Alligator mississippiensis: one gene and its partners. The protein of the gene in region 3 interacts with the protein of the main gene of each other region in a biochemical or structural test. Links are inferred from orthologs where the notes say so. Each region holds a gene or a part of one and is shown on either strand. Other genes may lie near its edges. The genes, in order: INSR, UBE2H and TRIM72.

The links.
Region 1: the proteins of TRIM72 (region 3) and INSR form a complex in vitro, tested with the Homo sapiens proteins (2 studies listed by BioGRID). The link is inferred for Alligator mississippiensis from reciprocal best matches to the Homo sapiens genes TRIM72 and INSR.
Region 2: the proteins of TRIM72 (region 3) and UBE2H form a complex in vitro, tested with the Homo sapiens proteins (2 studies listed by BioGRID). The link is inferred for Alligator mississippiensis from reciprocal best matches to the Homo sapiens genes TRIM72 and UBE2H.

Annotation. Positions count from the first base shown.
Region 1 is NC_081839.1:650,053-658,084, forward strand, and holds the start of INSR (insulin receptor), read left to right. Parts: upstream 1-4,961; 5' UTR 4,962-5,162; coding exon 5,163-5,244; intron 5,245-8,032. UniProt on the Homo sapiens protein: Receptor tyrosine kinase which mediates the pleiotropic actions of insulin.
Region 2 is NC_081827.1:5,409,398-5,416,432, forward strand, and holds the start of UBE2H (ubiquitin-conjugating enzyme E2 H), read right to left. Parts: upstream 3,040-7,035; 5' UTR 2,873-3,039; coding exon 2,820-2,872; intron 1-2,819. UniProt on the Homo sapiens protein: Accepts ubiquitin from the E1 complex and catalyzes its covalent attachment to other proteins. E2 ubiquitin conjugating enzyme that transfers ubiquitin to MAEA, a core component of the CTLH E3 ubiquitin-protein ligase complex.
Region 3 is NC_081830.1:1,061,105-1,068,287, reverse strand, and holds the start of TRIM72 (tripartite motif-containing protein 72), read right to left. Parts: upstream 3,097-7,183; 5' UTR 2,908-3,096; intron 470-2,907; 5' UTR 468-469; coding exon 69-467; intron 1-68. UniProt on the Homo sapiens protein: Muscle-specific E3 ubiquitin-protein ligase that plays a central role in cell membrane repair by nucleating the assembly of the repair machinery at injury sites.

The DNA of each region.
Region 1 (8,032 bases), on a different chromosome or scaffold from region 3:
TCCTCCTTGAGTGAAGGTTATTATTGATCCACCTTCCAGGTAGTCTGTGAGAGTTGGTTCATCTCTGGCAGTGATCCTTTGGGCTGCAAAAGATTCAAGGTCTTACCTTGAGTTTGCCTGGATTTGTGGATCAGCCAGTTACTTCAACTGAGATGGTGGGTTGAGTGTTGCTTTCCCTGCATCTTGACAATTAGGATTATTTTCAATCCCCTCGGTTGTCACCTGTCTGCAGCTGCAGATACCAAGAAGTGAAACCAGTGCAGCATGGTACCGCCAGCAGCCCGGCTGCCCTTGCAGTATTGAATTGGAGGGAGCAGTCGGTGCTGCAAAACAGACTGCATGCGTGCCAGGCCCTGTCCTCAAGCTGCACGTCCCCACTGTGCAGCTAGCCTTGGGGGGCCCTTGTGCATGTCAGCACGCCTCGTTCCCAAATGCAGTTTATGAGGAACCGTATTTTCCCACCCTTTTGCACCACCTCTGCCCCACAGGTTCTGGAAGCCAGGCTGGGTTCTCTCCAGATGTGCGAACTGTAGAGAGTCGGCAACAGACGGAAGGAGCCTTGGGGGGCACGGCGCAGAGCATGCTGCGGTGAGCTCGTGCTGCTTCAAGTGGCCAGCCCTGGTGCTGGACTCTAGCTGGTGCCCAGGAAAGAACAGAGCTCAGCTGGTCTCTCTCAGCTGCACTGGCTTGACCAGGGAAACTGGATTAAAAAAGACACGGATTAGTGGTTCTGACCCTGAAAACACAAACCAGTTCACCAAGTTCCCCTCCAGAATGGAACTATGCACTGAATCCAGCTGCATGCCTGGTTCTAAGCTCCCAGTGGCATGAAGAACAGGAAATCTGGTCCTGAAAGATTTCTCAGTGCTTGCCCAGGGAGCATCCTATAGAGAGAGCCTGGCCCAGAGCACCCAGTCACCATGGCAAATGTAGAGCCTTAAAGGGAGCAAGAAGCTCCCAGGGCTTGAGAGAAGGTCCCTGTCCGGCAGAGCCTTACAGGAGAAGATTTGCCTTGCCTGCTACGTAGCTTGTTTCTGTTTTATGCTGGTACAGATCAAAGCTACCAGGGGAGATGAGAGGCCTGAGCCTCTGTACCATGCTGGTGCTGTACCATGACACTGCACACGTGGTTAGCCAGGGAGGGCATGTAATGAATTCTTATCGCTGATGCCAGCAGTAAGAAATTCACAAGCCGCCTCTGTGTCAAGAGTCATTAATGAATCCGGAGACATGCAGGACGGACACTTGAATCCTATGCTCCTTCTCTTTGATCCGAGAACAAAAGCAATGCCCTTGCTGAACCCTCTTCTCACCTGTGCGCTTGGATTCTTCAAGCCAGTACGTGCATCCCTCTCTTCTGGCAGCGCGCAAACAGTCTGCTGACGAGCTTCAGAGCCCCGAGTCCCCAGTGACCTGCATGTGAAGCCTGTTTCCAAGGAGGTCTGAGGGCAGGGTCAGACCTGTGGTGCGTCCCATGCAGCAGCAGTGCAAAGTGCCCGGGGAAAAGTCCTTTGAGCAAGCAGGTCTCCAGAACGCTGCCTGGGGGCCCTCGAGCATCGCACTTAAAAACCCACTTTCTAAACCTAATGATCTAAGAATTGGTGCAACACTCGGTTGATGAACAGCAGAAAGGCCTGCTTTAATAACTACCAGCAAGCTACAAAACTAAATGACAGAAAATAACTGTTTCCCAATATCACATGACTTATTCGTCCTCGTATTATCTTGGCTGCAAAGAGATCTTTACCCAATGCAGGCAGGAAGCAGTTCTTGTACCGCCTCACAGTGCGGATCCTTCACTTGTTGGCCGGGTGGCGGGATGACTTCTTGGTCTTCCCTGGACTGCACACACCTTGCTAGTTCTTACACTGTTAATTGTATAGCCTCAAAACATTTTTCCTTGATAGTCAGCTGATTAAAGTTGGAACAAAATGGGGAGGCAAAGGGTGACCATCATATTACAATAGTTAAATTGCCTGGCTCCTGTTTTTGGACTTGTCCAGGTGTTGATGACTTGTGTTTCTCTGCAGCCCCTGCAATTACAGGTCACTTACGGGCGCTCAGACAGGATTGCTAGAGGCACTGGTCACCAGACCTGTCTTTGGGGATCTGCTTATCCATGGGGCAAATTTGCAATAGCGTGTACCGGCGACAGTCTGTTTACAAAACTCACATACATCGTTCCTGTGCCTTTTCCAGGTTTCTCTTGAGATGCGTATTTATTCTTTTGTCATCTTGAGTTGCTAGTTCAGTTGAAATGCATACGTAGGTTCCTTGCCGTCTCCAGTTGCACTGCCTCAGCCTTTTCTTTGTCTCTCTTACTTGCACACATGATGAGCGTGTCAGGTCTCTGCCAACAATTTTAACCATCACCTCTATTACTTGATGGCATGGGTCTGGTATTGGGTATCACAAGCGCTCCGCTGTCTTGACGCCTGATGGGTTGCAAGCCTGCCTTGCCCCAGCCATTGTCTTGCAATTTTGTGCAAAAGTCGCTGTCCAAGCTGTCACAGTGTTACTGTGCGGCGTCGAGCACCTGCCCGCACCAAGATCCTGCCCACGGAGCCAAGTCGCGGGATGGCTGTGAAAGGCCCAGGGCTTCCCTTGTGCTGCCGGGACAGGGCGGCACCGACCCAGCTTGGGCATGGACAAAGATTGCACAGTCGGTGTTTCTTGTTCACCACAAACTTCCCGTTGCAGTCCCGTACCGTGCGCGTCGGGGCCCTGGCACCGCCACACCTGGGCAGCACAGCGGGTGCCTCTGGAGTTGTGCAAGGAGCAGGCTGGTTACTCTGGCGACACCTGGGCACGGGTAAGGTCCCACCTTTGCTTTTCCTTCGTTCCAAGCGGGACGTGGACCTTCCTTATGGCATTGGGCAACAGCGGCCAAGTGACTAGGACCGTCCTGGAGCTGAGACAGTGTCCAGAGATGAACGTAACCAGAGTGGGACAGGCAGGCAGGAGCATTTGTTCCCTCTCACTTTGAGGCCCACATCTTTCCCTATCTGGGCGACATCTTCCCGAGGACCGTGGCAAACAGCGGTGGCTCGGCCGCTGAGAAGTGATGAAAATAACTCGGTGCGGTGGTTGCCATTAAAAACTCCAGTGTTTACTGAAAGTGGCTACCTCGCGGCATCCGGGTACGAGCGCTCTTATCTCTCCGCTCCAGGGGGAAATTAAATTATCACCTCGGGACAGCCTTGCCTTGGTAAGTTGCAAACGGAGGGACAGATCCTCCCTAGCGTCACAGACATCTTGCGTGGTCTGAGCAGTCTCCTAGCAACGTCAAGGATGCCTGTTGTGCCTGTGTAGCCCTGAACCTCGGGAGGACTCGGCACTTCTGTTTCAAGGTGATTGCTGGTGTGGAGAAATGTAGCCCGACTACCGTACACGGCAAGCCCGCGCTCTAGAAAACTGCTGCGCTGGCTGCAGGACGTACGAGCTGGCCACGGCGGTGGCTGCGGGACTTCCCTGCCCTCGGCTGTGCCGCCGTTCTCCTTTCTGTCGTCGTTTTGGTTGTAGCTTCTGCCGTCGGAGCCAGCCTCGACGGAGCCTGGTCGGAAACGGGCGGCTACGGAAGAGGGCTCGACGGACTCGGATGAAGCCTTGAGGTGAGAAGCTAACGCTGCCCGGCCCTCCTTCGCATGTTTGAGCTGCTTTATTGGTGCTGTTGGCAGCGCTCTGACGCGGGGAGAGGCGACGTGTTGCGTGTCCCGGCTCCTGGCAGGGCCCTTGCAGCTCCGCTGCGCGTCGCGGCGTGATCCCTGCGCGGCTGGAGGCCTTGCTTTCCCCTCCGTGCTGTTTTCAGGAAGAGATTTCAGTCCTGGGCTCTTTGGGCTAACTAGTCTCGTCGAGCTTCCTGGTTCGTGCTTTGTTGTGAACACAAAAGGCTCAGCCCAGATCAAAGGCTGCAACTGGAACAATCTGAAATGAAAGTGCTTTGAGGGTGGTTTTTGTGACGGTTCGGAGCGGGCAACATCAGGTGCGCTCTAGTCCTGCCATCACACGCACAGGGCTGGGCCGCGGCGCGGCAGGGCGCGTCTTGCTCTGTCCCTCGGGCCTCGCCGCCCCTTCTGCGCGCGGGCCGCGGCGGTCAGCGCTGGGCCTTGCGCTGCTGGGCCGTGCCGGGGGTGGGGTGGGGAGCCCGCCTGGGGACCGGCCTTCAGACCGGGCGCTCTCGTAGACTGAACCGCAGGCGTGCGCACCGCTGCGCTGCTATGGAGCTAGCATGTATTTTTCTTTTCGCTTGCAGCAAGAAGCAGTCATTTTAGATAGAACAAAGAGGAACAGGATTGTCCCCAAACTGCTCCGTGCTTGGTGGTAGACGGATTACTCCCTGAGGGCAGGGGGCCGGGGCGGCGAGCACCCCCGCAGCGCGGGCGCTTGCTCCGGCCTCGGGGCGCCCTGCCCTTCCCTTCCCCTTCCCGGCGGCCTGGAGCCGGAGCCGGAGCCGGAGCCCCTCCTGGCTGGAGCAAGGCCGGCGCTGGCGGGAGGGGCTTGGAGGCGGACGCCTGAAGTAACAGAACAAGGCAGCCCCCGCCGGCCTCGGCCTCGGCCTCGGCCTGTAGCCTCGGGGAGAAGCGTGGCAGCAGCGCGGCTCTGCCCGGGGCAGCACGCGGGGCCAGGCCCGGGCCGGGGCTCCCGCCAGCAAGCGGCAACGCGCTGGTGCCAGCCGGCCCACACACGGCCTCGCGGGCCCACGGGCGGGCGGGACTCGGTCTAGCAAGAGCCCGGCGCTGCACAACCCTTCGCACCCCGCCGGGGCCGGGGCCGGGGCCGGGGCGAGGCGGGAGGGGGCTGCGGGCCGCCTCGCGCCGCTGCGGGAGCCCGGGCCGGGCCCGTGGGCCGCACACGTGCCGGAGGCGGAGGCGGAGGCGGGGCCGCTTGGGAGCGGCAGGTGGAGGCGGCTGGGTCTGCCCCGCCCGGGCCTGCTGGGCTCGGCTCCGCTCCGCCCGGCTCCGCTCCGCCTCTTGGCGCGGCCCGCGGGCTGACGGGGCGCCCCGTGTGCAGTGGCGCGGCCCGCGGGGAAGGCGCCGCGCAGCCCGGCCGAGCCGAGCGGAGCGGTGCGGTGCGGTGCGGTGCGGAGCGGCGGCGATGCGGGTGTGCTGGTGGCGGCGGCGGCGGCCCGGCGCGGCGCGCGGCCTGTGAGGAGCGGCGGGGCCATGGGGCCGCGGGCGGCGGCGGCGGCGGCGCTGGCGGTGGCCGTGGTGCTGGGGGCCTGGTGTGGACACGGCCGCGGCGACAGTGAGTGCGGGCCGGGGGAGGGCGGCGGCGGCGCGTCCCTGGGCCGGGCCGGGCCGGGCCGGGCCGGGCCCACCAGCGCAGCGGCCGCCGCCGGGTGTTGAGCCCGCGGCGCGGTGGGTCAGGGCGGGCTCGGGCCGCGGGCTCCCGCACTGTCCCCGGCGCCCTGCTCCACGGGCGCGGCCCCCACCCCACCCCACCCCACCCCGGCACAGGTCCATGCACACACGGCGCTGCCGCTCGCTCGCTCGCTCGCTCTCGGGCCCGGGGGCCGGTGTCCTGCTCCGGGCCAGCCGGCCGGCCGGCCGCGCACAGGTGGGGAGACGAGGGGCGATGGTGCCCGCCCGCCCGCGGCAGCGCCGTGTGCCTCTCCCCGTCGGTCCCATGTGTTTCGGGGCACCGGGAGCTCTCCGAAGGTGAGGGCCCGCATTGAAGGCTTTGGGATGGCTGGCTACAGGTGGCTGCGGCGTGGGTTGAAAACAGCCAGCTTCTCAAATGCAAAGACCTGAGCGTGTTGGAGGGCGACAGCGCGCACGCCTGCCCACACGCGCACAGAGCTCTTGTGCAAATTGACGCACGACACTCTGGAGAGCGAGCTCTGGCGCGACGGCTGCCCCTGCCGCCTGCCTTGCCCTGACACACACGTCTCCTGCGCGACGTCCCGCGCGCGTCGCGGACGGCAGGGAGAGTCTACGCCGCAGGGACGCGCACGGGTTGCTCCTGATCCCCGCGCTGGACTCGTGTCGCTGCAGTCTTGTGTTCGCCAAGCTTCTCACGAGAGTCTTGCACGCGGCCTGGCTGTACGGGGAGTTTCAGTCCGGAGGAAAGCTTCCTTCCCTGGAGGTTAAGGCGGGCCGTCGCCATCGCTCTGATCCCAGCCTGCCTCGGCGCGCTCGTGGGACTCCTCGAAGCGTCCCCGTAGCGTGGGCCGCTGCCCTCGGCGCGCTGTGCTTGCGGGCGGACCGGGAGCGGCGGGATGAAAAGCCCGTGTGGCCAAGGACTACCTGCCGAGCCCGGAGGCAGCTGGCGGGGAAGGGCTGTCGGGCTTGCCCTGCCTCGGGCTCGGTGGGGTGGGTGGCCCTCGGCGGACCGGCTCTCGAACGCCTTGCCCAGTACACGCGGGGATGCCCGTTGCTCCGGCCTGCCCTTCGCTTTCACGGAGACGAGCGTAACAGAGGCGTTCTTATTTCTCCGACAACCCTAAAAGCGGTAGCAGCTCCCAGGGCTCAGCTGAGCCTTTCGGGCTGGGCTGCGGAGTCTGCAACCAGCACAGAAGAAGCAGTCTCTTTGTCGGAGGAGGATTGGCCTTGGCTCAGCAGAGGTTTTTTTCCCCTTGCCCAGGAATAAAGACAGCAGCTGCCTGAGAGAGGTCATCTGAGGAGGCCAGGGGCATATAAACAGACTCTCACCTTCATCATAGCCTGGTCTGAGCATGCTTCACTGCCCAGGCCTCGCTAACGGGAGGAAAACAGTGCTTAAAACTAAACCTTGGTGTTTCATTCTTAGATCGTGTTTGTTAAAACAGTATGAAACGGGCCGGACCCCGGGTCTGAGCCCCTCCGGTTGAGGTCTTCCCTGGCCAGTGCCTGCCTCACGTCCCGTCTCCGCAGGGTGGAGACCATCACTCGAGAGCCACGAGCACTTGTGAAAACCGGACTGAAACTCGCTCGTCGTTTATAGAAGCTCGGCCCCCTTCCCACGTACGATTCCTGGAAACCAGAAGTGCAGGGAAGTGCCAGGGGTTTAGGCTGATCCGAATGGCTGCTGTTATCCACACGCGCGAGCAGGTTTTAAATACTCCAGTCAGCAAAACAAATTGTCTTCATGTGCAGTGCTGGGTTATGCGGGACTCTGGATATGGGCCGGAGCCTGTTGCGGCGAGTCGTTAGGGCTTGTTGTTCGCCGTTAAGCCAAGTGTCAGTCGTAGTTCTCCCCATTAGACACTACCTTGAAACCTACAGTCTGACATCGGAGCTCGTGTGTCTCTTCAGTACCTTGAGGGTGTTACTGGCAGACTAGCGTGTGCAGGAGCCTCTGCCGTGCGTTTGGAAGCACTGCTGTGCCTTGCCCCGATCGACCGTCTCTGGGTAGCTCCGTGGCCCAGGACACAGGCGTGTTCTTCACCCGGGCTCTGCGTCCTCGCTGCGGCAGGCTGCGCGCAGGCCTCTTCCCAGCCTCCTTGAGGCCCGCGCTCTGGCCGGCCTCGCTGCTTGACAGAAATAGTGGCGTCTAGCGACGTGGGAATTTTGTCACTAGCATCAGTGAGAGCAGCGCTAGGCCTTCTAGCTGCAGCACTTGGAGCACGGATTTGAGGGTTAAATAGCTGATTCTGTGTTTGTTTCGGAAACCATATTAAACCCCCCAATAAAAACTCCGTAATAGCTGGTTTTTGAACTGTTGGTCTCTCTGTGCTGGCAGCTCACTTGACTAGTCTTCATAGTGACTTGTTACTGATTTCTGCCCCTGCCCCTCCTCACCCCAGAAAGTCTTGCTGAGGGGAGATGTGGAAAAACACTTGCTGCTTTGCTTAAAACTGAGTTGTGTTTATGGTAACTACAGAATTAGAGGGGTCATGTGAGTGGTTACAACACCAGTGGACTCCAGCTGCTCAGGAGAATTGAACCGTGCAAGAAGAGACCGAGGCCTGCAGAAGGCAAACCCAGATTTTCTGAAATAGCAGCAGTTCTGTAACTTTGCTCCATGAAGAAGCTGAATGTACTCAGCTGCGCTTGGCGCCTGTGATGCAGGTGATGGAGTGAGACCTGGAAGAAAGGAGGCATGGGCAGGTGGT
Region 2 (7,035 bases), on a different chromosome or scaffold from region 3:
CTGCCTCCGAACTCTTGTAATCCCACTGAAAGTACCTCGAAGGGCTGGCACGGCCCAGTGGGGCTCTGATTAACAATGCAAGGACCCCGCAGATCAGCTGTGCGGGGCTGCCTGTGATAGGGATCTCCCCGAGCCCCCAATGCTGAAACCCTGAGGATTGGCCTGTGCGGGCTTCCACAGCCTTGCACTAGGCCTCCTTCTCCTTTCCCAGCCCCCACCCCCTGTATATAAACACACTCTTGTCACACACTCCATCAGCTGTTCAGGTTGCTCCGCCCCGGCCTTGGTTTCCGGGTAGTAACAGAGCAGCCAATCCGATGATTTGCAAGCTCTGCCCGAGGCCTTTCGCCTGCAAACACTTTTCCAAAGCAGGAGGCTTGGCATTGCACCGGGGCAACAGTAAGACGGGATGGCAACGGGCAGACGCACGGAGGCCCCCCGCTCCCCGTGCGGCAGGGACAGGAAACTCCTCTGCACCCCTCCAGGCTAAGATTTTCTCCACCCCAGACCCGAGGTTGATCAAATGAACCTGGGTAAATTCCCCGTCTTTGGGGACTACGCCTGCCTGAAAAGCCCTTTTGCGACCGGCAGGATGCAGGACCCTACCCGGGTTTGCTATTGAGCCCCTAAGGGGGGGGGGGAAAGGAGGTGACCATCAGCCCAACAGGGGCACGATGCAATGCAAATCCCTGCTTCTCGGCTCTTCCGAGCGTTTGCACAAGGTTTAGAGAAGGGATCAGAAGGGAAACAATGAATGACTCAGAGTTTCAGAACAGAATCATCCAGGCAATTATTAAACATCGGTTCACACACATGCATTCCCCAGGCAACCCGAGGCGAGAGAGAGAGAGAGATCAGCCAACGACATGACTATGAAAGGACACGGACATGTCGGGACTGAAAATAGGTCTGGGGAAGGAGGACCCCGAAACCTGTCAGAGCAGAAAGCAGCTGGGTTACTTTCCGGCCACCCTGTACCCTCCTCCGGAAAGGTTGCTCTTGGCAGGCTAGAAAACTATGCCACGATTATATCCGGAGACATGAAAAGGGAGATTGAGATGAAAATGGCAGCAAACAACACCCCCCCCCACCCAAAACACAAAACCAAACCAACTCGGAGGCATCGGGAGGAGCCCATTCAAGTACATTCCTCCAGACCAGTTCTCCCTCATTTGCTCACCACCATAACCAGCTCCGGTCCCCACCCCCACCCCTCCAACACACACTTATTTCAGACAATTTGCAGATCAGTTTACAGATAGGAGGATTACACACAGAAATGAAAAGGCCCAGGGCCTGCACAGCCCAATGCATCCTGGAGAGAGGAAGGCCAGGGAGACGACTCCGACAAACGAACAACAACAAAAAAAAAAATCAGGGAGGGAGGGGAGAGGTCGGGAAGAGTCATCTGACATCTATAACTTCCTAACTTTGCTGTCCACAAGACCCATCTAAGCCTCTTGCCTCAGCTCTCAAGAACGCTGCAGTCACAATAATAAGAGCCCCGGTTCAGAAAAAAAAAAGCCTCTGGTTTCTTTTGTCAGGGGAGAAACCAGCAGGAGATCAGAAGCCGACCAGGTCTGGAAGGGAAGATATTCGCCTCTCTTCCACCTACAGCAAAACGCAAACCCCCTCCACCAGCGTGAATATACCAAGTCCCTTCAAAAAAATAAAAATAAAACAAACAAAAAAAACCCCCCTGGCTCTTTGTCTCCTAAAATGCTGTAATCATCCTAGATGCCAGCTACCACGAACAAAAAGAAAGAGGGAGTCAGAGCAGAGTCTGCATCAAATCAGACTGGGCCTCATCGCCTCTCCGGCCCAGTCCTTTAAAAAGAAAGGCAATTTTCTTCTGCATAAACAACCGGGAAAAATCAGCCATCGATTGCGATTTGCATTTGGGAGAGCGCAGACGTGTGTATGTGTAACTCTAAACCCCGGGATAAAAATAGCTCCGATTCTACCCTGATCGCCAGTCATTTCCTATTTCTTTAAAAACAAGATTCGGGGGGGGGGGGGGGAAAAAAGAAATGGCCTATAAAGAAACAGCTTGTCTTTGAAGAAGAAAAAATTAAATTCAATTAAAAACAAAAAACCACGGGCACAAAAACCCGAATGGAAGAAGTTCTCGCTCAGCCGGGCGTCCCCGCGCCATCCGCGGGACCCGGGGCCGTTTCCCCCTTCCTTTAAAAGGAGGAAACCCGGAGAAGTTTGTTTCTCCTCCAAAGGGAGACGTTGCTCGTCGCCGCCCCGGGGAGCCGTCGGGTCGGGGATGTCAAATGCATCCCCCCCCCCCCCTCCTCCCCGCGTCAACGCAACTATTAATACAACTATTAATAAACCGAATTCCCCGCACAGCTTCCACCACGTCCGCCCCCTCCGCGCCGCCGAGAGGACGGGAGTCCCCCGCCCCAGAGGGGCACAAAAGAGAAAACAACAAGAGGCCGAATTAGAAATCAGGCCCGTTTCGGGAGGGGGGGGGTGTACCTGGAGCGTTACATAAACAGCAGCCAGGCGAGGCAAAGCCCTGCCCCTTTTGGGGTATTCCCCCACCCCTCCCCCCACACAGCGACCCCTCATTTGGGGGGTCATCCCCCTCTCCCCCAATTTAACCCCCCCAACCCCCAAGCTTTGGGCATGGCAGGGAGCAAATCATCATCAACAGCACACAAGGCTGCGGGGGGGGGGGGGCGCCTTGCCCCCACCCCCAGTGAGGGGGGGCAGGGCCAGGATGCCCCTGAGGGGGGAGGGGAGGGGGTGTCATCCCCCCTGGGGGGTCCCACCCGCGGGGGGGGGGCGGGGCGCCGGGAGGAGGATACAGCTTGACCACGTCGGTGTCCATGCGCCGCTTGCCCGGGCTGGGGGAGGACATGGTGCCCGCCGCCTCCCCCCGCCGCCTGGCAGCGCCGCGCCGCTGGGCAGGCAGGCAGGCAGGCAGGCAGGGGCAGCGCCGGCTCCGACCAGACCCGCCCGGATGGGCCTCCCTCGCCGCGCCGCGCCGCGCTCCGAGCCGAGCCGAGCCGCTCCGCCACCGCCGCCGCCACCGGCCCCGCTCCCTCAGCCCGCGCCGACTGCCCCGGCCTCGCTCCGGCCCCTGACGTCACCCACAGTGACCTCACCGCCCCGGCCCGCGGCCATTGGGCGGCCGCCGGGCGACGCGCCGCGCTCGGTGGGCGGGGCCCCGCCTCCCCCGCGCGGGGCGCCATGGGGGATGTAGTGTTTGTGCGCGCCGGGCCCAGCCTGCCGGCCTGCCTGCCTACCCCGGGCACCTGCGGGGGGGCGGGGGACGGGCACCTGGGGGCCTGGGTTCGAGACCCGGCTCTGCCACGTGTGTGTGTGTGTGTGTGTGTGACGGGGAGTGGAGGGGAGGAAGATCCATGGGCAGGGGTTATAGGGTATAGGCGTGTATGCATAGGTTTTATGATTGTGTGTGTAGGGTTTATGTGTGTGTGCATGTAGGGTTTATGTGTGTGTGGCTGGGGATGGAAGGAAGATCCATGGTGTGTGTGTGTGTATGTGTGTGTGTGTGTGTGTGTGTGTGATGGGGGAAGGGAGGAAGATCCATGGGGAGGGGGGTGTAGGGTTTATGAGTGTGTGTGTGTGTAGGGCTTATGAAAGTGTGTATGTGTGTGTAGGGTTTATAACTGTGTGTGTGCATGCATAGGGTGCGTGCGTATGTGCGTGCGTGTGTGTGTGTGGCTGGGGATGGGAGGAAGATCCATGGTGTGTGTGTGTGTAGGGTCTATGGTTGTGTGTGTGTGTGCATGTGTGTAGCAGAGGAAGATCCATGGGGGGAGTGTCTGTGTGTGTGCATGTGTGGAGGGTCTATGATTGTGTGCGTGTGTGTGTGGCCCTGTCCCCGGGGACAATGCAGCTGCCCTGGTCGCAGGAGCGTCCGCGAGGCCCGTCTGCCCCAGACGCTGTCGTCCCGCAGCCCGGGCCGGCCCAGACACCCAGGTTTGGTGGCCCCGGGTCTTCCGGACCAGGCCCCTCGCCGCCCCGTGCCCGCGGGACTCCCCGGCTCCCACCCTCTGGCAGCAAGGGGAGGTGGCGGCAGCTATCGCAAATATCTGCACCTGTGGGGAGCCCACGCACCGGGTCGCTTGCTAGATCCGGGCACGGAGATGGCCCCGATCTGATCCAGGGGCCAGCTGGAGGGTCCCTATCGACCCTCATTGTCGATGATGGGGCTGATCCTGCGTCAGGCAGGGGTTGGACTAGATGTGACCGCTGGAGCCCCACTTCTCGAGGATTTCTATGATCCAGCCAGCAGCTCAGGCCTGAGAGAATCAGTGCAAGGCCCAGTCCAGGCACACGGGGCCTGATCCGGCTCATGGATGAGCCCAGCTCCGCTCCTCTGGCCCACGGCACTGAGAAGTTGAGCACCTTGTTCTGGACCATCGGATTTTACCAGCATCTCCTTCACACCGGACGTGTGTGTGCACAATCGCTCTAGTAATATATCCCTGCAAGCTGGGTGTTGCCAAGCCATTGATGCATGCACCGCAGGACAGACTTCCTGATACCCCTCCAATAGCCCTGGCCACTTAATTTCAAATGAATTATTTTTAACACCCTTCCATAATGATGCTTTCTCCTTCTATAGCCACCCACCGCCTGGGGAGCTCGGTGCAGCGTGTCCATACGCTACCCGCAATAGGAGATAAGAGGAAATCATAGGGCAAAGGGCAGAAACACCTTTTCGCCAGTCTTCTTCTTCTTGTGTCGTCACCATGCTCAAATCTAAGTCCAGAAACTGGCACCTACCGTTTCTCAGTGTATATCTTTAGCCAGGTGAATAGTTGCCCCAAACATGGCAAGCCAGCAGGTGTGCAATAGTCTGAAAGTTTCCTCCACATTCGCACGTGCTGTTTGCGCCGTTAGAGTATCCCCGCCGTCGCCTGTGAACTTGAGTCTTGCCGATCCCCGTTCGGAGACAGTTCAAGCTTCTCCATGTTTGCCAATCAAACTCGGCGTCTGCAGGGAGATGTTTGGCAGTTTTGATATTCATCCTAACTCCCTCCTGGGTCATCTCTAGATGCGAGTGCCACATTTTTATTCATGTGGCTGTCGGTATTTCATCTCCGGTACTTTAACCAATATTTGAGTGTTTGCATTCATTTCTGCCTTGCTGGCGAGAGCTTTGTTCGGCTTCTGAGATTATTCTGAGATTATTACTGTTTCTTTTTATATGGATAACAGTGTTTTATGTGCGTCCTTGCAATGTCAAGGCCTTCCAATGAAATATTAACACAAATAGACAGAGTCCCTGCCCTCGAGAGCATACAATCAGAGGGACAGAGGCTAGGCAGAGATCAAAGGAACATGTGTTGGGGCTGGTGATGACTTGGCTTGCTATTTTTGTACCTGTTTGTGGCGATGGCGTTATGCTGACTTTGGTGAGTGCTGCTGGAAGATGTGGGTTTATAGGAGACAGCTGGGAGCCTGGGCACGGACATGGGAGGATCATTCAGTGCACAGAGAGAAAGCAGCAGGAGAGAGGGAAATGAAGCAGCAGTGAGCGTTGCTGGCAGCACAAAGGGACGAGATGCAATGAGAACAAATCAAGAGCGGAGATTTAGGCAGGGGCTGTGCTGAGCCGTGCTGCGCTGGTGGGGACGGGCAGAAGGAAACGCATGGAAGGACAGGGGAGGGGAGGGGAGAGGAGACGTGGCCAGGTACCCTACATCTGGTGGTCTTTGCAGCTGCCATAGGGAGAAAGGGTTATTGCAACCTGGGACAGCCATCAGCAAGGGACAAAGAGTGCTTCTATCCGCAGCAGGTTGTTTGAGGAGCAGCTAAGGATAAGATGCAGCGCCTGCTCCAATCCCTGTCTCCTCCTCCTGCACCTGGCAGCAAAAGGCAACGTGTCTCTTGCTGCTGCCAGGTACATTGGGGCCAGGGCTTGGCCTCTGCATCAGAGGCTCAAAGCAGAGCGAGGGGGCACCGTATTGCCCAGATCCAGGACCCTTGGATTTCTCCAGTGCATTTTAACAGCCTTCCAGCCATGGGACACTGACAGCCCTGGTCCCCCTGCTTTACCTGTGGCAGATTCAAACCTTCTTGGTGTCTTTGGGCAATATGCTTTGTAGTTGCGCAGCAGGGTTGACTGTGTCATTTTAGGAATCGGTTAGGCAAGGATTTATCTGCAATGGTCTGGCTAGAGCTGATCCTGCCTCGAGCAAGGGGTTGGACTAGATAATCTCTGGCGGTCCTTGCCAACCCTATTTTTCTATGATTCTACAATTCTGCGACTCTAAGAGCAGGTAGGAAGGCTTTGCTAACGTGGGAGCTCAGGCCACGGGGCTTTTTTCAATTTTCCACAAGCTCAGGGGCCAGCTGCAGACTTCCCGGCTGTCAATAATTTACAGAGAGGAAATGCTAGGACTGCGTGCAGATGCAAGCCTGAGCCTGGCGTGAGCAATGTCCCTCCTAAGCAGGCAGAATGGAGTGGCTACGGAAGCAAACAGCTGCTTACCCTCGTGTGCCCTGTGAGTGCTGCAATCTGGGAAGCGTGTGCTTGGGCCTGCTAACCGTTGAGACCTAGACGCTGGTAGCAGGGCAGGGACAGAGCCGCTCCGAGCACAGGACTTGAACGCTGCCAGTTGACACTGCTGCAAATTATTAACATCCCAGCTCATATGCCAAAGCAGGGCTAAGTAGCTCGAGCACATGGCATGAGGAAGGGGACTCTGTGCTTTTCCACCTGCCACAGATTGCCTGTGGGGTTCTGGGCAAGTCATTTGACCTTGTCTTGCCATCTGGCAAGCACTGATAACACCAACTCCCTCTGTCAATGGGAGGGGTGTGGAGGAAGGGGTGGCTTGTGTCACTAAGTTAATGAGTGTTTGCAAGGCACCTTGAGGTCATCCCGTGGCTGTTACCCTGCACATGGCCCCGTGGTCAAATGCAGCGGAGATATGTGCACCTGCCACTGGATGGGATCCGTATTGCTCAGCTGTATGTCTGAGGCCCTGCTCCATGAATGGTGATTCTCCTCCACCCCAAGTGGCAGGGGTCGGTGCTCTGAGAGCA
Region 3 (7,183 bases):
CGATGCGACCAGCTCCGGGGTGGAACAAATACACATAACACACCCCAATGCTCGGGGGAGGGCCGTACCTTCATCCGGTCGTGGGCCTCGGCCGCCGTGAGCACGCGGTGGCCCTGGTGGCGGCCCAGGGAGGCACAGAGGCCGCAGATAACCTGGCGGTCCTGCTCGCAGTAGACGCTGAGGGGGTCCATGTGCTCCTCGCAGTGGTCGTGGGGCACCTGGCGGAAACACTCGACCAGGTGCTCCAGGGGCTGGTTGAGGCCCAGCTGGTCGGGCCGGGTTGGGGCCCCGCAGGTGGGGCAGGCCAGGTCCCCAGGGGAGTCCCCGCGGGGGACCGCAGCCAGGCAGGCCCGGCAGAAGCTGTGGCCGCACTCAGCCGTGACCGGGGAGGAGAAGAGGCGGTGGCAGAGGGGGCAGGTGAGGTCCTCCTGCATCCCCCGGAGCAGGCGCTGCTTGGAGTTCGACATGGCTGGGGGGGCGGGAGAGGCGGGGGCTGAGTGGCTTGTTGCCCCTCTGCTCCCCCCATCACCAGAGGACCCAGGCGCCCGGGCTCCCAGCACCCCCCGCCCCCACTCTCACCATACTCCATGCAGGGGAGCCTGGGAGCCCGGACGCCTGGGTTCTCTGGGGCCCGAGATGCAGCCAGCTCTGGGGTGGAGCAGCTGACAGGAACAGGGCATGGGGACAACCCAGATCGGGCCTGAATCGGGGTCCCCTTTCCCGGCAGCTCCCTCCCCCCCCCACAGTCCATGTCACATGTGCAGCCGTGACATATGACATATGGCCGGGAATGCCAACGCTGCCCGGCATGTCCCCAGGCCTGGCTGACCTGGCTATAAATAGGCACGAAACAGGAGCCACAGGCTTCCACATGCCCCACCCCCCCAGGGAACTCAGGCATCTGGGCTCCTAAACTCCCTGCTCCCACCCCCCAGTCCAGAGAACCAGGCATCCGGGCTCCCAAACCCCCTGCTCCCACCCCACCAGGTAACCCAGACGGCCAGGCTCCCAAACCCCTGCTCCCACCCCGCCATCCCAGGGAACCCAGGCGTTTGGGGCAAGGTACCAGGCTGGGACCCAGGAGAAGGGCAGGGGTTGTAACCCCACTGCTCAGGGGTGGCATCTCCTGCGCCTCAGTTTCCCTCTCTCTAATGAGGGCATTCATTAGGGTTTGTTAGTGGGGGGAGGACCCCAAGACCCCCCCCTCCCCCCCAAGAGCAGACAGGACCAAGGAACCCCTCAGACCACAGAAGGTCATGAGGAACAGATGGACGGACCATCCCCACTCCCAGCCTCCCCTCATCCAATGGGGCCGTTAGCACGATTGATGAGGTCATGGTTAATAGCTCGTGATTAATAGCGACACGTTCCTGGGGATGGATAGATGGGGGAGTCGGCATGGGTGGAGAGGGTGTGTGGACAGAGAGATGGAGGAGGAGTTGGTGGGATGGAGGGACGGATGGGTGGATGGATGGATGGATGGATGGGTGCCTGGAATGATGGCTGGATAGATGGAGGGAGGGAGAGAGGGATAGAGTAGATGTGGATAAATAGGTAGATGGATTGAACGATGAATCAATCAGCTATATGGGGTGGAGGGACGGATGGAGAAGACCATGGATAGATGGATGGGCAGATGGCTAGATGGATGACTACAAATGGACGGATGGATGGAGACATCCATGGAGGGAAGGTTGGATGGATGGAGGTTGGGTTGGGATGGACGGATGGATGGACAATACTTCATTATTAGGGATGGAGGGAGGGATGGGTGGACAATGACTCGTCCTCATCTGTGGAGGGATGGATGGATGGATGGTTGGGGGACAGAGGGAGGGATGGAGGTTGGGTTGGTTGCTTGGATGGATGGGTAGATAGACAATGACTCGTCATTATGGATGGACAGATAGACGGATGGAGGGATGGACAGAGGGGTGGAGGGATGGGCAGTGACTCATGATGCGGCCAGAGGGATGGACTGGACGGAGGGATGGACACACGGGGGAGGGGCAGCTGGGCAGTGACTTGTGATTATTCATGAGCGCCGGTGCCATGCCAATAGCTCCTGGCCCCGCCCCCAGCACTGCAGGGCCTGGCCCCTGGCCAGCTGCAATGGGCCTGCCCCATGCCCCCCATGCTGGTCTCTATAGGGCTACCCTCTGTTCCCCCAGTCCGTCCCTATAGGCTGTATATGTCCCTGGAGTCCCCTTGAGCTACCCCATACCCCCCCCCACTGGTCCCTATAGGCTGCATATAGCCCCCAAATCCCCTTCATCTCCCCATTCCCCCCTGCACCAGTCCCTATAGGAATAAGGACACTGCACCCCAAGCCCTCCCCCAGTGGTCCCTATAGAGGTCCTCTTGATGTACCCCATCCCCCCCGCTCTGGTCCCTATAGACTGTAGGGTCCCCTTTATGTCCTCCAGACACCAGTCCCTACAGGTATACCCCCATGCCCCACTCCACTGGTCCTTACAGGCTATATCGCTCTGCGGTCCCCTTGAGCTACCCCATACTCTCACACTGGTCCCTATAGACTGTAGGGCATCCCTTATCTCCTCCATGCCCCACTACACTTGTCCTTATAGACAAAGAGGTACCCCACACTCCCTCATGGATCCCTATAGGCTGTAAATGGCCTCGGGGACACTCCAGACCCATCTCTATAGGCTGTATATGGCTCCGGGGATACCCCAGACCCCCCCATACTGGTTCCAATAGGCTGTATATGGCCACAGGAACACCCCATACCCCCCATACCAGTCCCTATAAACTCTATTTGGCCCAGGGGCACCCCATACCCCCTTGTACCAGTCTTTATAGGCTGTATATAGTCCCAGGGTCACCCCATGCTCCCCCACTGGTCCCTACAGGGTCTATATGGCCCAGGGAGCCGTGGGTACTCACCGGCAGTCTTTGGGGGCGGCTGGAGGGTGCTGGAGCTGGAGACTGAGAGGTGGCGGCTGCTCCAGCCCCTATATAGCCCTGGCACCGGTCCCAGGGAACCCAGGCATCTGGCCAGGTTGCGGAGAGGCAGCGGGGCGGGAGGAGGGCACCTGGCAGCGGGGCTCTCCCGGACGCCTGGGTCCCTTGTCCTGGGGGAGTCCCCCCACCCGCCGGTGGGGGCAGGCCCGGACACCTGGGGTCTCCTCCCCGACCCCTTTAGGGCTGTGACCCCTGGGTTCCCAAGCCCCCTCGCCTCCCCTTCAAAACTGCCCCCCCCTCCCATGAGGGCTGTGACCTGGATGCCTGGGCTCTCTGGGGTGGTTGAGGGTGGGAGCAGGGGGTTTAGGAGCCCGGACGCCTGGGTAGTCTGGGCAGGGAGTGGGGGCTGCGGGCTGTCCCAGACGCCTGGGTCCCCACAGGCGTCCCTTCCCCCCAGCTGCTCTCCCAGGCTGACGGGGTCAGGTTTCCCCAGCCAGGAAGTAGCAGGCAGGGCTGGCAGCTGCCAGGAGCCCCGACACCTGGGTTCTGGGGGGACGGGGCGGGGAGCAGGGCATGCTGGGAGCCCGGCCGCCGGGGTCCTTTGGGGAGGTTGTAGAAGAGCCCATAGGGTCAGGGGTTAGGGGTAGGGTTATGGATAAGGGGTATAATTAGGGGTAGGGTTGTGGTCCTGGACGCCTGGCTCTTTGCTTAGGGAGCTTGGAGGGGCAGATCACCACCTGCCGGACCCCTGGGCTCTTTGGGAGGGGGTGGGGGGCGGGTCCTGGAGTGGGAGGGGGGACACCTGAAGTCCTGTGCTCATGAATATTAATGAGGGGTTCATGGTTCATGCATATGGAGGGAGGAGTGGTGAGGAGTAGGGGTGTGTGGCGGGGGGGTCTTGGACGCCTGGGGTCTTCCTCTGCACGTGTGCGTGTGGCCTGGACACCCGGGTCCCTATGCGGGAAAGCCCCTCTTACCCTATTCCCCGCGTATAACCCGCCCTCACATTTCCAGGCCCCCTACCCCGCCAAACTCTTCTTACCATATTCCCCCTATAACACGCACTTGCGTTTCCAGCCGGTGTTTTTTGCCAGGTGCCTTTCCCTGGCCCCCGCTGCCTCTCTGCCGCCTGGCCGGACACCCGGGCTTCTCTGGGCCCTCCTGATCTAGTCTGTGATTTGACTGGGGCTAGATGTAATGCGCACAAATGCACGCGTAGACGCGCTCTACACTTCTACGTCCACCCCCAGGTCCTGCAGAAGGAGGCCCGGCCCCCCCTTCTTCGAGGTCTTCTGCAGGTTGCTGGACTGGGACTAGGGATTTTGGTGGGGCATGCTGGCAGCACCCCGCAAAGCCCCCGTGGGCATGGAGATCGGCACCCAATGGCTTTGCCAGGAGCAACAAGGCAAAGCGACGCTCAGCGCGGTGAACCCAAGGAGCAGCTCATAGGCTGCCTTCCAGCCGGTACAATCTGTGAATCTAAGAGTTAGGAAGGTAATTAGTGCATTACTTAAGGGCCCTGTGACATACTCCAGTTTAAGCAGCATAGAAACCAGCTATAGCATTGCTGCACCTCCTCAAGCGCTGATTTTAGAGCTGGCTGGCTCATTTTTTTCAAAGCTGGATAGTCATTTTTACCGTGTGATAATCACTTTGTAGGCACAGCCAAGTGCAATTTATTGTGCCATTTGGCCGTTTGCTGCGTGATAATCGCTTTGCACTTGTGGCAAGCCTCAACTTCTTGTGTGATTCACCCATTTGCTGTGTGCTAATTGCTCTGCAGGCATAGCCTGTGTTGATTTATTGCACGGTTCACTTGTTCACTACGCAATAATTACTTTGCATGTGTGGCCGGTCTCAACTGATTGCGCCCTTCAATCATTCAGTCGCTGTGTGCTCATTATTTGCATGTTTGTCCAGTCTCAATTTATTGTGCAATTTGCCCGTTCACTATGCAATGATTATTTGGCACATGTGGCCAGTCTCAATTTATTACATGATTCACCTGTTCACTGTGTGATGAGAATTACTCTGCATGCCAGGCCAGTCTCAATTTATTGCAGTTTGCCTGTTCACTATGCAATAATTACTCTGCACGTGTGTCTGGTCTCAATCAATTGTGAGATTCAGCCATTCACTGTGCAATCATTGCTTTACATGCCCGGCCGGTCTCAATTTATTGTGTGATTCATTCGTTCAGTGTGTGATAATTACTTTGCACAAATGGCTGGTGTCAATTTATTGTGCAATTTGCCCGCTCACAGTGTGATAATTTGCATGTGTGGCCAAGCTCAGTTTATTGGGCAATTCCCCTATTCTCTGTATGATAACTATTTTGCATGTGGGGCAAGTTTCAATTTATTGCGTGATTCGCCCATTCACTATGCAGTGATTACTTTGTACGTGCAGCTGGCCTCAATGTATTGCGTGAATCAGCTGTTCAATGTGTGATAATTACTTTGTGCACATGGCCAGCTTAAATTTATCGTGCAAATCACTCATTCATTGCACGACAATTGCTTTGCACATGTGGCTGACCTCAAGTTATTGCGTGATTCACCCCTCAATTGGTAATATATGCACCATGTACCAGGGCCCTTAGTGTAAGAGTGTGCCCTCTCTGCTGAGCAACCCAGGATGAGTAGAGACTCCTGCCTCTGCAGCTTTCACTTTCTTGACCCACTGGTTCCCGAATGCAAGGGTTTGGGGTACCAGGTGCGGTAGCAGCCATGTTTATTGCTCCCCCCCATTTCCTCCCACCCTCGGCCATAATTATGCCTCCCCATCAAGGTGCACCTATTCCAGGCTTAGTGCCAGAGGCCACAACCTCAATGACATGCCATCCCTCTTCTCCAGGTTCGGATAACCCCAATGGCTCTTCTTCCTTGGGGATCATATCGGCACATCCAGTTTGCTGTGCTGGACTTTTTTTGCCTTGACCAGGCATGAACGGCAAACAACAGCTCAACAATAGCTTTCGGCCAATAACACTGTCCATATAGACGTCTTTCCTTTGTGTGTAGCTTGAAGAGGAAGATGTCACCATACAAGAATCCTTTCACGGGAGCCTTTAAGGCCTACGATGAATGTCACAGACGATTGGGGAACATCCCTATGGCCAAGGACAGCCTCCAATGGACTTGCTTTGAGCAGCCGGGCCCTAATAAGCAGGTTCAATCCTCGGTTGACTAGATGATTGCTTGAGATCCCTTCCAGCCGTCACATCTCAATGATCTAGCCTGGTTTCCCACCTGCAGTGCATGAATCCTGGGTCAGCAAACTATGTCTAAGGGGTCCGCGGAAGAAGTCGTGACACATCATCAGTAATGATCTGCTTGTAGTCGCCGTCCACACCTCCAGCTGGAATCTGGTCGGAGGCCCGCCAATGGAAGAAAAGGTTGAAAGCTGCTGATCTAGACCCATAGACTTGGATGTAGCCAAAGCGTTGCTCTTAAAGATAGGGGGAAGCTTAGGGCGAGGGCATGAGGGGCCTGCTGGGTTGAGCTGCCCAAAAGAGAGGGGTTTAGGAGTAGCAGGGGTAGTAAATAGCGGGAGTAGAAGATACACTGAAGGGTAGGGCTAGGATTTGGAGTAACCTCAACACATTGGAGGATTGGGCCAAAAGGAATCTCATGAGGTTCAACAAGGACAACTAGACCAACGTGTGGCAACTAGATCAATGTGAGACCGGTTCAATGAGGCCTACTTCAAATTAACAGCGTGTGTAGATGCGCCCTGCTGTGCTTTTTGGGGGGGTTGAGGGGCCCTTGTACACACCACGTTTTTTGCCCTTTCTTGTCCTGCACCTGCGTGTCTGTTTACACAAGAGGGATTTCTGGACCCTTTAAAAGCCTTCCTGGTGCATTAACTAAAACTCCTCAGCTGTAGTTTATTTTGGCTTGCCAGGAACTAAAGCGTCACGTCTGTGGATTTGTTGTGTGCGAACACAAAGGCACTCAAAGTCATAAGGAGCCTCTTGTCCACGAGATGGTGCTGCACCCTTCTTGTAGCTCAGGGCTTTGACTTCTTTCACTTTCCAATTGCTTCTGCTTTTTTTTTCCTGGTGTGGTTTGCTCCCTGCTGGCAGGGCCCAGGCAGGGAGTGGGTGGGGGGCCCGGGCTCTAGAGCGGGCAGTGCTGGACCAACCTGCTCTCCTGTGGCAGCGGTAGGGACCCAGCTTCATTCGTGCAAAAACCTACCGCGTGTAAACACAGGTCCGATACTCCCAGATAAACACGTTTACATTTTATAAGCCTAC